Linked DNA regions of Danio rerio. The main gene of each other region encodes a partner of the protein of the gene in region 2 in a complex. Links are inferred from orthologs where the notes say so. Each region holds a gene or a part of one and is shown on either strand. Other genes may lie near its edges.

Evidence for each region. Proteins that work in one complex are often made in the same cells at the same time.
Region 1: smarcd1 (region 2) and phf10 share a complex: the UniProt entries of both Homo sapiens proteins name them as parts of the neural progenitors-specific chromatin remodeling complex. The link is inferred for Danio rerio from reciprocal best matches to the Homo sapiens genes SMARCD1 and PHF10.

The regions. Positions count from the first base shown.
Region 1 is NC_133188.1:6,028,598-6,035,406, forward strand, and holds the end of phf10 (PHD finger protein 10), read left to right. Parts: intron 1-1,449; coding exon 1,450-1,638; intron 1,639-4,031; coding exon 4,032-4,117; 3' UTR 4,118-4,308; downstream 4,309-6,809. UniProt on the Homo sapiens protein: Involved in transcription activity regulation by chromatin remodeling. Belongs to the neural progenitors-specific chromatin remodeling complex (npBAF complex) and is required for the proliferation of neural progenitors.
Region 2 is NC_133197.1:7,412,560-7,419,630, forward strand, and holds the start of smarcd1 (SWI/SNF-related matrix-associated actin-dependent regulator of chromatin subfamily D member 1), read right to left. Parts: upstream 4,437-7,071; 5' UTR 4,410-4,436; coding exon 4,233-4,409; intron 1-4,232. UniProt on the Homo sapiens protein: Involved in transcriptional activation and repression of select genes by chromatin remodeling (alteration of DNA-nucleosome topology).

The sequences.
Region 1 (6,809 bases), on a different chromosome or scaffold from region 2:
ATGAGCAAATTGTATGAATAAGATGGTACAAATTCATACGAATTGGCCACTAAATCAAAAAGTTACGAATTGCCGTGAGAACGTGTTGCATGTGAACGTATTCGCTGACCCTGAAGGTGATTCAAAATTTTCTGCGTTAAGCCATTGTTAACTAAGAATAACATACTGAATATTGTCACTGGCCAATCAGAATTGAGTATTCAAGACAGCTGTGTAATGAGTAAGGGATAAAGTACATCCAAGCGCAAAATGAAGGCCCGACAGGCTAATCAGCTGCCTGACGTTAAACGGAGCACTGTTGTATAAGACTGAAGGGCTTTAATCTGCGAAAATCATGCAACAGGATATAGTTTATCCCATTTATTTCATGGCGACATTTCACAATATGTACAAATTGGACAGAACTGTTTTGAAACATGAGTTGAATAATTCTTTAAATAAAAGCAAAGCTGACAGAAACGAAAACGGCTGAATGGAGCATACACTAACCTACGTATTATCTTGTCGCAAAATGGCGCCAGAGACAGACAAGCATATAAATATGGAGGTAAACGCATTCACTGACAGTCAAGATGATTTGAAGTACCTAGATGAGCCTGTGTTATTAGTTTAAGTGGTTGTTATCTGGGAATAGCATGCCTTGGGATGCAGCGACTGACTAATCAGAATTGAGTATTCCAAACTGCCGTGTAATAATGATCTACTAACATGAACAGTTTATTACAGTGGTAATTAATCTTTGTATTTTAAATTTTGGGTTTTAATAATGCATCAGTGAATGTTGAACTGTGATTAATAAATGCCATGCAAGTATTCTGCGTTCATGTTCGTAAATACGTTTAACGTTAACAAATAGAACCTTACTATGAAGTGTGATATTTTTTGTGTATGCTTTTTGAGTGTTTTAATCCGTTTTATACACTTGTGTTTCTGACTTAAACGGAATATTGAGTAGGGTGCGGGGCTTTCTTTTTGCGCATCATTCCCTCATAGAAAACTAATGGTGAGAGGGGCGTGGTTAAGAATACTGTGGCCGAACCATCAAACTGACATCATCAAACACAGTTCAAACACAAGCAAGTGCTCAGATGATTACCAATAAACTTTTTTCAATGGATTACCTTGCGTACGTTAATTGTTTATTTAAAAATAAAAATGTGCGTTAGCAAATTGTTTACATTTTGATTTACCTTTTGATTTCGAATATGTTTTAGATTTTTGAATACATTTTGATTTTACACGCATTTTAATATATACAGCACTCTGTTTTTAAAGCCTTTTCATCATCCTGTTGATAAAAAAAAAAAGTTCTCGTGTATCATTTCTTAAGTTTCTGCTTGCTGGAAAAGATACGTTTTTGTGTGAATGGCTAATGATGATGATGATGATGATGATGATGGTGATGGTGATGGTGATGGTGATGGTTATGATGGCCTTGTTTGTGCTCAGGTCACCCGTCCTGCTTGGACATGAGTGTGGATCTGGTGGCCAAGATCAAGATGTACCCGTGGCAGTGTATGGAGTGTAAGACGTGCACCGTGTGTCAGCAGCCCCATCATGAGGAGGAGATGATGTTCTGTGATAAGTGTGATCGAGGCTTTCACACTTTCTGTGTGGGCATGGACTCCATTCCTATGGGTGAGTCTCTACTTAAGATCTTCCTCTCAGATTTAGGAACACATAAATAAAAATACATTAAAGCTAGAATAAAAGCAGTTATTATTTTTTTTAAAAACCATTCGAAAAACCTAGAGTTGTCTAGAACAAACCATCATTATACAATTATTTGCCTAGTTAACCTAGTTATGTCACTAGTTACCTTTAAGGGCTCTATTTTGACGGTTCATGCGCAGAGCGCAAAACGCAGGGCGCAAACGCTTTCAGGGCGTGTCAGAATGCATTTTTGCTAATTTAAGGACGGGAAAATCCACTTTGCGCCATGGTGCATGGTCTAAAAGGGTTGAGCTTATTTTCTTAATGAGTTATAGGTGTGTTTTGAGAATAAACCAATTAGAGCCTCATCTCACATTACCTTAAAGAGCCAGCTGCGTCGCGCCATAAGCGCATTTTGACGTAAAGTAAGTTCACTTTCTCTTTTGCTCTCGTGGATAGGGAAACCTTTACGCACAGACATTAATTAGCCTATAAATTATTAATTTCGTTTGTTAAGCGCAAAGATTTGTTTCAAAACTATTTCTAAATTCAGTTTTAATTTCCAGCAAACGAATAAATGAACAACAATAACAAAGTGTGCTCAAAAACCTGAGTTATTTCCAAATACACCTGCTGTGCCCCATATGGTCTAAAATTTGACAGGTGGACAAATCTAAGCTTGTTTTTAATAAAACAAATATAAATATGGATATAATAAATAATACTGCTAATAATAATAACATTATACAAAAGAAAATTGAATGAACTGAAAAAGCCTCCCGAGATGAAGAAAGTATGAAGGCAGTGGTTTTTAAATTCATGTAGGCTAGAAATTAATATGTTTTGTAATATTTTAATCATTGATATTTATATCCTGTATATATCCTTAAGATATTATATATTTTTCATATGTAAAGATATTTGCGTATTGCTCTGCATCTTGTGTGTAGTGTGTAAGCCAGGCGCACTTTGCGCCAGACAATAGACCGACTTTGTTCTGGTCTTAAGATCAGACTATTTACAGTTTCTCAAAATAGCAACGCGCCAAAACACGCCTGCTTTTTTAGACCAGAATGCCTATGGGTGCACATTTGAGCGCAAATGCATTTGCTATTTAAACGGTGTGGCGCAACACCTCAAAATGACCCTTGCGCTGAGCTAAAAGTAGCAAAAGAGTATTGCGCCGCACCTTGCGCCACATTGCGCCGCGTGTATGATAGGGCCCTACATGTCACTTTAAGCTGAAAACTAGTATCTTGAAAAAATCTAGTAAAATAATGTGCTGTCCGTTAGAAATGTGTTGGAAAAAAATCTTCTTACTGTTAAACAGAAATTGGGAAAAATATTCAGGAGGACTAATGATTCTGACGTCAACTGTGTGTATAGTGTTTACATTTTTACACAAATTGACATTATTAAAACTTAATTAAAATGTTAAAATAGGATTTTTGTCTGCGTTTAGGATTTATAATTCTTTAAATATGAAATCACTTGTATAAATGATGATGCAGATGTTAAGGTTAGTAACATATAATAATAATTATAATAATAATAATTATTATGGGGGGGGAGGGGTCTCTCCTTACCACCACCAGTGTGCAGCATCCGCTTTAGTGGTTTAACGTCTCATCCGAAAGACATCGCTCAGTGACAGTATTCACCTTATTCTTCGCCAACAAGCGGGCGCAGCCATTTGAATCTTTTTGGCTCGAGACTTCCGGTCTCATTCACTTCCATTCATTTTTAGACATTAAAAACTGCTCGTTTTGATGTTTGATGTTGCAAACTGATATTTTCTTATTATATTATTCTACTTGGTCTGTATAGTCATGCAAACATTTGTTTTTAGAGCAAGTAGTTTGACCGTTTTCTGACGTTTATTATTCCTAAACGTCATTTCTCCCATAGGCGACTGAATCGGAAGTTCTAAAACAATCCTGAAAACAGGCGCACTTCCGCATTTTAGAATAAGGTCAATAGAGTTTTTCTTTCACTATACTGAGGCATTAAAAGTCACACAGACCGCAGGTTGAGCGCGCCCTGTTGTCATCACAAACATCACTTCTAACAGCAACCTAGTATTTCTTATGTGGTCTCCCATTCAGGTACTGACCAGGCTCAGCCCTGCTTAGCTTCAGTAAGAACCGGTCTTGCGCTCATATGGCTGTGTACTGAGATTGTAGCTTTATGAGACCAAAAACATAATATAATATAATATTTTTTTATTTTTAATCAGCTTAAACTTGTGGAGAACTTTTAACAAAAGAAACATCCTCATGCTTTCCTACGAAATCTTTTGTTGAACATAGAAGTGTGATGGAACTATTATTGTTTTATTTCATATAATATATTTCTGTTTGCATTTTTATTTTGTACAGGTTGCTGGGTCTGCGATTTATGCAGCAAAGACATTTCAACACCTCAGAAGAAAGGACAAACAAAAACACCAAAAAAGGCCAAATAACTTGCAAAAAATGGACCCAATTTTAGACCATGCTTTTGATTTATTCATATTTTTCTATTATTTGAATAAGTCTGTATGTGTTTTGTATGTCGCATTAATCTGTTATTTTGTAGCTGATTTTTTACACGCCTGTTTCTCTGTTGATTATGCTTTTTTATTGATTTGTTAAATAAATTTGAAACCTTTTTTTGTCAAGCATTGCTTACTTCCGTCTTTACTAGTTCTCTTGACGTTGTGATAGTGATATTTATCAACATTTCAAAAGAAAAGCTTTTTTTTATTAGCTTTTTTTGTACTAATTTATTTATGTAATGATCATACTTCAGTAAACGGGTAGTAATGGATATTTTTCTGATCTAAAAATTTTTTTATGATCTAAAAACTGTTGGGATACGAACATTTAGATGCTATGAAGGAATGAATGAATGAATACCCGGGCAGATATTCTTGACTCTTACTGGCTGTAGGCATCTTCCTCGAGTCCCATTATTAGTGTTTATTTTTAGCTTTAAGTTCAGCTTCTAGACTAAAGCAGAACAGCACCTTGTAAATTATTTTATTTATTTATTTACTTTCTATAATTATTTTTAGAGGTTTTTCACCTTTAATTAGAAAGGACCGTGGAGGTTACAGACAGGAAAGTATTGGGAGCAGAGAAAAGGGAAGGGTCGGCAAAGGACCTCGAGCCGGATATCGAACTCGGGTCGCTGTGAGCACCACGGTGCTATACAGTGCTCAGCATTTTTAAGTACATCCCTCACAAATCTCTCTTTTATATTCATATTTTTAATAGGAAGCTATACAATTTTATATTTGTGCATATACATTAGATTAGTCAGTACTGAAGCTAAATCTGGAGCTAATCTAACAAAATAACTTACGATAACGGTCCAAAAACTAGTACACACAAATTTATGTAATAGAAAAATATTGAATACAAATTTTAAAAAGAGGAAAAATCAAGAGAAGCGATAAAATTAAAAAAAATGGTTGAAATTTTGTAGATTGTAATTTTTTTACTTGAATTTAATTGTTATCTTTCAATTTCTAAATATGTTTGGTGACTAAAATATTATTTTAATAAATATATCTGTTTAATAAATCTGTTTTGTTTAAATGCACTAAAATACATTGCCAACATTCACTGAGAAATTAATAAAAATGTTTGTTTTCAAAACTGTTCTGAGCACTGTATGTCAGCGCACCTAACCACTAGGCCAGGGGTGGCCAACCCTGTTCCTGGAGAGCCACCTTCCTACAGATTTCAGATGCGACCCATATCAAACACACCTGAACCAATTAATTAGGATCTGAACACCACGTAATAATTATAGGCAGGTGTGTTTGATATGGGTAGCAACTGAAATCTGCAGGAAGGTGGCTCTCCAGGAACATGGTTGGCCACCCCTACAGTAGGCTATTGGCGCCAACAGATTACTTTAATAGTTTATTGCATATAAGTGGTTCAAAACCACTGTTTATAAGTTTGGCACTTGAGCAAACATGCCAAAAACGACAAGGTTCAGTTCTTTTCAAGTCTAACTCCATAATTTAAAACAGAAGAACGAAACTCAAGTATCAAAATGATGACAGGATTGTCAGTCTTGTGTGAACTATCCCTTTAAGGGCTGCAGTATAAGGTATGATTTAGGGTTATTTAAATATTAAATAATTATTACAAAGTGTTTTCAGTCTCGGTTTTCTTACCAAGTGCATCCGGAGATTTCGTCTCAGTCCAGAACTTTCATTTAAGTGCATCCCTAAGATAGAAAAAACCATATAAACAGTAATAAGAATATTGCATAGACACTCACATGCACTCAAAAAAATTACGTTTGCTGTTTGTACAAACTACTTATTTAAAATGAGCTGATACAACACAATAGGGTATATGCAAAAGCATGCAGAAGGACTTTTAATTTGTCAGTAACCCGAGTCAAACACATCCGGGGAACTGTATGCACTTACAAAATCGGCCCTTGTAATGTCTGTTTTTAAAAATCAATAAACTTCACTGCCTAAATGATTTATGATATAAAGTGGGTTTCAGATTGTACAAGAATCAATGCATTAAATTACATTTTCCTGTACCATGTTTTTAAAATATTTACATTTATTTTACTTCAGTATTTACAATGGCGTTTCTGCCCTAGCCTGCTGATCCTGACGGCCCAAAGCGATCTCACGGCAATTCGTAACTTTTCGCTTAAGTGGCTAATTCATATGAATTTGTGCGATCCGATTCCTACAATTTAGTACGATTCGCTTAACACCCAATGACGTTTGGGGTTAGGGGTGGGGTTACTTGCAACGCCTCCTTTTTAAAATCGTACATTTTCATACAACTGAACTACGTTTGAATTTGTACGAATTAGCCACTAAAATGACAAAACGTAAAATGCTTACATTTCCTCGTGAGATCAGGCTGGACGGCCGAGTGAGTAAACGGCTTTTCATCTCATTTTACACTTCAGCAACTTATTGAACGATGAAGTCTATTTAACGGATTATATTTGAATAACAATACAACATCAATGCTGTAAAAGGAACCGTATAAAATTGAAAGTCACATTAACCGTTCACCGGAAGTTTATCAGTATTGGAAGAAACACTAGCTCTGCATTTACCCAATTCTCAACTTTTTTTAAGGCACAACTTAATTGTTTTATGTTCTACCCCCTTAAATTTGTAG
Region 2 (7,071 bases):
TCATGTTGTAAAATGGCATTTAAAAAGAGCACAAGCAATCCATTTTAAGACAATAATCGAAATCAATTATAAAGAAAGATGCTTATATCATTCCTCAACTCTATTACTTTAAATGAACCAGCAAATACCCTTGAATCTCAGTCCAAACAACAGGAGAATGCAAAACAAATATCTTGTGGACGAACATGAAATACCAATGTTTTCCTGCTAAATGGAAGAGTAATGAAATCAAGGCTTCACTGAAGGATGTACACAAGCACAAACTGCGACCTAATTCATCCTTGAAGGCAAGATGAGGCCACAGATTCTCCACATATTTTGTGCAATGTGGAGTTTGACATTTGAGCAATTCTATACAAACGTCAACCTTGCCATTGAAAAAATAAGTTTTCACCAATACAGGAAAACCACTTTTTATGTTTTTTTTTTGTGTAAGGAAGTATTTTAAAGTCATTTAAAAATGCTCAAAAATGTCTTGTGTTTTCAAGAGTCAATGTTTTCCAACTATTACATTTAAATTACCAAAGTCATACAAGTGGCAATTTCATATTTGTCACATCCATAACCAAGCTCTTCCCTCATAAATGCAAAAATGTCAAATTAAATAAACTCAATCATTTTTGTTCTATAGTGAGCAACTCATCCATTTGATGAGCATTATTTATTTTGGGTATTGCAGTTTAATTCACAGAATTTCTAAAAAGCATGTTGTATACTGTAAACTCGCAGACTTTTTTGGTCACATCCATAATGCATGTTTATTTTCCTTATTTAAAGTACAAAACATGTTTACAGAATAATATTTTTCTGATCTCTTAACTCTGTGGTTAGTTGTTTTGGAAAATATAAACAGACATTTCAATATAACGTTAACGTATAATTTCTCTGTGAATTTATGTTTTTAGTTTTTACAGCAAATGTCACATCCATAATGCTGGGATTGCTCATTCATTTTTAAATCCTGGAACAACTCAGATATTTAGTCACAAATCAGCACACAAACAGTTGTGTTCATCACTAAGAAAACAAGTGCTGCTGATCATCTGAATGTTGGTGCAGACGGTCACTGAAACTTAGAAACATCTCATGTCAAGCAACAGTATAGGCATGGGCTGGTATAAGATTCTGACAGTATGATAACCTTGGATAAAAATATCACTGTATCACGGTATTGTGATTACTGCTCTAAAATATGTTCTTCTTAAATGCCTGGGTTAAAAAAAACAAAAAAAAAGTCCCCATTTGAAAACATTATATTTTATTTTTTGAAAGATTTATAATATTTTGAGCATAAACATGTCAGGCTGAATGAATAATCCAAATGAATAATTGACTTCTGCTGTCTTTATTAGTTTCAAAAACACAGATTTCTTTACAATTTAAAAATTCTATGGATTTTTTTTCTGCTGGAGATACTGTCGTCATAAAAAACAAAATACATTTTTTTACAAATACTTTAGGAATGGTGTTAAAAAAACATTTTAGCGGTTTTAAAACCTTGACTTTTCCAAACCGCAGTAAACCTTGAAAACGGTTATCCCATGCCTACAGAATATGATTATTTTCCCAATCTTATTTATTAGCTAATAAAACAATTGAGGTAAAGTTAGTTTTATATTCATATTCTGACTTTCTCAATAATTTCAGAAAAGTATTCTTTGCAAATACTGAATAGTGAAATCCTATTAGCAGCCCATCTCTTTTAAAGTACAAATGTTCAGTTGATTAAGAAGTGCTAATGTTGTTTTGTAGTCATACTTGTATGCAATTTCAGACAGAATATGCATAGCGTGGTAAACAATATGAGGACTGTTAAAATGAACGAATGTGGAAGTATAAAACCAACTCGGGGTTCATTCACAATTTTACGACTAAAATTTCATGACTTTTTCAAAACTAAGGTAAATATTCATGATGTTGTTTCGTGTTTAATGCAATGTCTATATCAGGTGTCAGGAACCTTTTTTCAGCAAAGAGCGATTTCAGATTTTTTTTTAATCAAATGCATTTTTTAAAAAGCCATATGGGTTGTGTGTATGACAAAACCTTTATATATTTATACACAAAACCTTTATTTATGTCCATGCATAACTCAAAAATAAAAACAAATATGGCAAATCACAATATACGAAGAAAGGCCAATGTAAATTTTTCTTTTTTTTGCCATCGCCACCCGAATGTTTGAATTTACGTGCATGAGGTTACCAATGAAATGTAAGTTACCATAGAAATGTAACAAATATAACTTGCCTTTTATTGTTGTCGCGATTCAAGTAAAACCACAGCACCACGTATGCTATGCACATTGGTTGAAACGTCCTTTTATTGCTAACAGTTCTTATTCATTTTGATGTAGAAAATACAATATAAGGAAAATTGTAATTGTATTTTCAATAGAAAACTGATTTCTAGTAATTAAAATTTTTGAAATATTACTGAAAAGAGATAGCTGGATAGCCACATATTTTTGTTTACAGAGCCACATGTGGCTCCCGAGCTATAGATTCCCTACCCCTGGTCTATATACATGTGGTAAATAAGTAAAAAAAATGCACCTTCCAATTTGCAGCATATCAAAAAAATGTGACAATTCATGTAGTTTATATTCATATCTGTAAAATAGTTTTTAGAAATTATCTTACTGTCTGCATGAAAATTCAATAATGTTGGCATGTGTTTTCACAAGACTTTAAATTAGTACAAATTAGCCTTTAGCACCCACAATATTTTACCTTTGGAGTTAAATATTTCTTGACACGAAACTCAAAATGCATCTTGAATTACGGTAAAAGCGAGGTGAAGCTATAACTGCTTTTTGGGGTAAAGTTGGTTTTATATTCACACATTAATTCAGCAACAACTTGTGACATGCTCCCTATATTGGTTACCATAGCACTTTGAATATTAAGTCTGAAATGCCATATGTGTCTGCTTGAAAACAACATTAGCAATATTTATTTGAACGTGAACAATTTTGTACTTTGATAGTCTTTGGCTGCAAACATGATTTCACTATTTAGAATTTACAAAGAACATTTTTTGTAAAATAATATTATAGAGGACAAAGTCTAAAGGTTTAAACATAACCAACTTTACCCCAATAAACTGCTTTTGATTTTTGAAGTTATTTATTATAGTTTTTTTTTTTTTTACCCATTTCATTTTTTTTAAGTCTTCCCATGAAATATAGTGTCAAGTACCAGTCAAGTTAATCTCAAATATACTCAAGTACACGTAATTGTTGAGCAAATTTTCATGATTTTTCCAAAACATTCTGGGTTTATGTGTTTTTCCAAAACTTTTCCAGGCCCGGAGAAGGCCTTTTTGAAATTTCATGACTTTTCCAGGACTGTATGAACCCTGCTAACTATACCTCAATACGAAAACATACGTTTGTTAGTCTAACGTTAATAAACAGGACAGAGGTAAAGTTGGTTTTATTCGCACATTCAGACTTCCCCTTTAATAATATCATTTCATAAAAGTATTATTTGCAAATTCTAAATTGCAAAAACATATTAGCAGCCAATGACTATCAATCATTGTTCACAGTCAATTAAGTGTTAATGTTGTTTTCAAGTCACACATGTAACGTTATGCTAATTCCGATCGAATATTCAGAGTCACATGGTAAACAATACAGATACTTCTAAATGAACCACTGTGCGAATATAAAACCAACTTTACCTCTATGTAAACTAGGGAAATTAAATGTTTATACTTTTTACATTTAAACCATATTCTTAAATCATTAAGTAGCAAACTATATGCAAAGCAGATGTAATTTAGGCAAAGACTTGCTCTCATGTAATGCACAGAATACATCAAATTAGCATATAAACACTGGTCATCAAAGCAACCAAAGCCATCATCATGATGCTCCTGTAGGCCGCGCGGTTACACACAGAGCTTCCGCAGAAACTCTGTTTACACCATCAAAACCAACTGCAGGTTAATATTCCTCAAGTCATTCTCAAGTGAAACACAAACAAATAATCTAATTTCTGGTTTACTGAAATAAAGTTTGACGCTTAGCATTGAACCAAACGGTAAGCAACGCAACCACAGTCGAGCATAATAATAGAGTATATTCTCAATTTAACACTATAGAAACCATTTTAAACGGATTCAATGTTGACGCTTTAAATAAACGAGCAAATTCTGCGTTCAGACTTTAAAACTAAAGCCCTCGGTTTATGCGCGGCTGCTTCTTTGTTCTCCTCGCGCCTTACCGGGTAACCGGGCATCGGTGATCGGTACATGTGGTTCTGCGGGCCGCCTGGTCCCATCCTTCCTGAGGGTGTACCGGGACCCATACCGGGTCCTGCTCCGGCTACCGGCGGCCCGGGTCCCATCGGGGCTCCGCCGCCACCGGGTGTCGAAGGCTGAAAACCACTCCGCGCCGCCATCTTCTTCTCCGCGAGCCGCAAACAGACAGAGAACCACCGGTGAGACTTGAAACTAGTATCGCGAGAATTGAAGAGCACAGGCGTTCAGAGCTGAGGTAGAGTCTCGCGAGGTGTGAAGAGACGTCGCGCTTGCGCTGACGATGAGAAGGGTAATCCTGCACAACTGGAGTGGCTGCACTCTCAGGACCGCATTTTTAGGACCGCATCTTTAGGACCCTAGTTTTTTGTGACAGCGTTACCTGTCGGATTGGATCATGGATGCGCTAATGGACGACACGGATGACAAGGAAAGTGTAAGTACCGATTTTTCTATTAAGTTTTATTTTAAACTGTTAAAGTATGTGTTTATTTTGTAATGCTGCTGTTTTATACTGTGAGTTTATGCAGAAATGCCAGATTAGCCTGCATGATTTACCCCACTTTTAAGGGTCTGGGACAAAAATGTTACGTGACGATTTTTTTTCCAGAAGAAGAATAAAATATTATAATAATAAATATGGATAATTTTACACAGCCAGAGTGAGAGCTGCTATAACTGTTAATAATTTTCTAGAGTTCGTTTTCTAGTTTGATTATACGTCGTTCGTAACTCGTGACCATGGTTTAATGAAACATTGTTGATTTAATGGCTTGTTGACTTAACGGCTAATGTGCTTAGTGACATGCATTAAACTAAGATGGTAAAAGCACGTTTGATGTAAGAGTTTTAGATTTATCTATATTTTACTGAATTCGTGTTATTCGTTGTATTACATTAGCACATTAAAAATTGTGCTGACTGCCTGTTTGCCCCACAATACTGTATGTGTTATTAGCCTGATGTTTTGTCATCGTTTTACAGTGATGAATGAGATTCTGAAAGTTAGGCTTATTCTGCAGGTCTTAACCATATAGAGTCTCATATCTTTAATTTATATCAGGTATGTTTTACCTGGCGAAAAAGAAGTGATGGCCAATATGATTGGATTGCTTAGGCTCATTGTAGGAGGAAAAGAAAACAAACTACAGGAATATTTTCATTGAGGTTATCTCAAACTGTTGAGTAACACTTTATAACATCTGCATACTATAAATAAATAATTATTAAGCATTTAATAACTAGTTAATTTATTAATATTTTATTTGTTTAGCATTAACTCTACATTTAATAGACATTGATAAGCAGTTTATAAATACAGTTACAAATGCTAGCTGTGTTCTTGAGTTTATAGCATATCTATGATGAAGTGCAGATTATCTGTGGTGTTCATTTTCCAGAGGAATGTCTGGCCAAATAAGTATATAAACTGCATGCTGGGTGCTACTCATTTATGAATCCATGTAAAATGATTTGCTGTTCTGTGGTGGTATTTTAGTTCATATTTAATGATTTTTTTTTCAAAGGCCATCGTACATCCTCTGGGTGTCTTGAGGAGCTGGTCTTTGGATGATGCTGAGCAGGTCTTTCTTTCTGGTAAAGATTATCATTACAGGTCAGAATATGGTTAATTTTGCACAATGCTCAAAGAGCCTTTTTGTTACTGGTATATATGTTAACTCAACAGTGGATTTGCTTTTTTTAGTGTTTGGACTTTCAGCAGTGAATACTAAACCACACTGAACTGAACTGAATTTAATAAATGTTAAGCTGCTTTGACACAATCTACATTGTAAAAGTGCTTTAGAAATAAAGATAAAATTAATTGAAATTGAATTGAATATTCAACACATTTCCATTTTTCTCAGAAAACATATTTATAAAGGTGCTGTTGACTTGAAATTTTCACCAGATGTTGATAACAATTTGTAAAGTAATTAGATTTGTTTTCTATTCATATATATTTTTTCTTTGGTTTTCAGGTCAATAGCACCTTTAGAAATATGTTTTCTGAGAAAAATGGGAACTTGTTGAATACTTATTTACCCCAGTGTGTATGTATATATATATGTATGTATGTGTGTGTGTGTGTGTGTGTGTGTGTGTGTGTGTGTGTGTATTTATATGTATGTATTTATGTATGTATATATGTATGTATATGTGTGTATATATATATATACTTGAACTTTCTTCTTCACTCTCATTCACAGGAGCTAAAGTCTACAGCCAGTCTGAATGCAGCAACTGAATAAACAGTGGAGTCATTTTTGTGGTTGAATTGCATTAATAAAAATAAAAGTGTGGATATTTATATAAATGTACATTCTTGAATCTTCCTTGCGTCTTGTCTCTCTAAAACCTTTACAACCTGGTTTTAAATTAGTAACTGCAAATGCTGATCCCATTTGATTTCAATTTATTTTCCTTAATACTGAGCTAATTAGTTCAATGTAATGGGGTTCATCAAAATACAGTATTTTTCAAGGAATTTAAGACTTTTAAGGCACTCAACTCTATTTATTAATTTATATTTTAGGTGTAAATTCATTTGTTTCATTTTAAAATTGTTACTTAAAGCAGGCGTTTTACACTTTAACCTCTGTAATAAAAGTGCCTGAAAGTTTCCGCTATATAATCCAATTCGGTAGGTGGCGCAGTTACAAAACGGGTCCTAGAAATGCAGTTTCACTATGTCATCCAATCCGGTAGGTGGCGCTTTCGCAAAAAACTAGGGTCCTAAAAATGCGGTCCTAAACATGCGGTCCTGAGAGTGCAGCTACTCCAGTTGTGCAGGATCATACTATT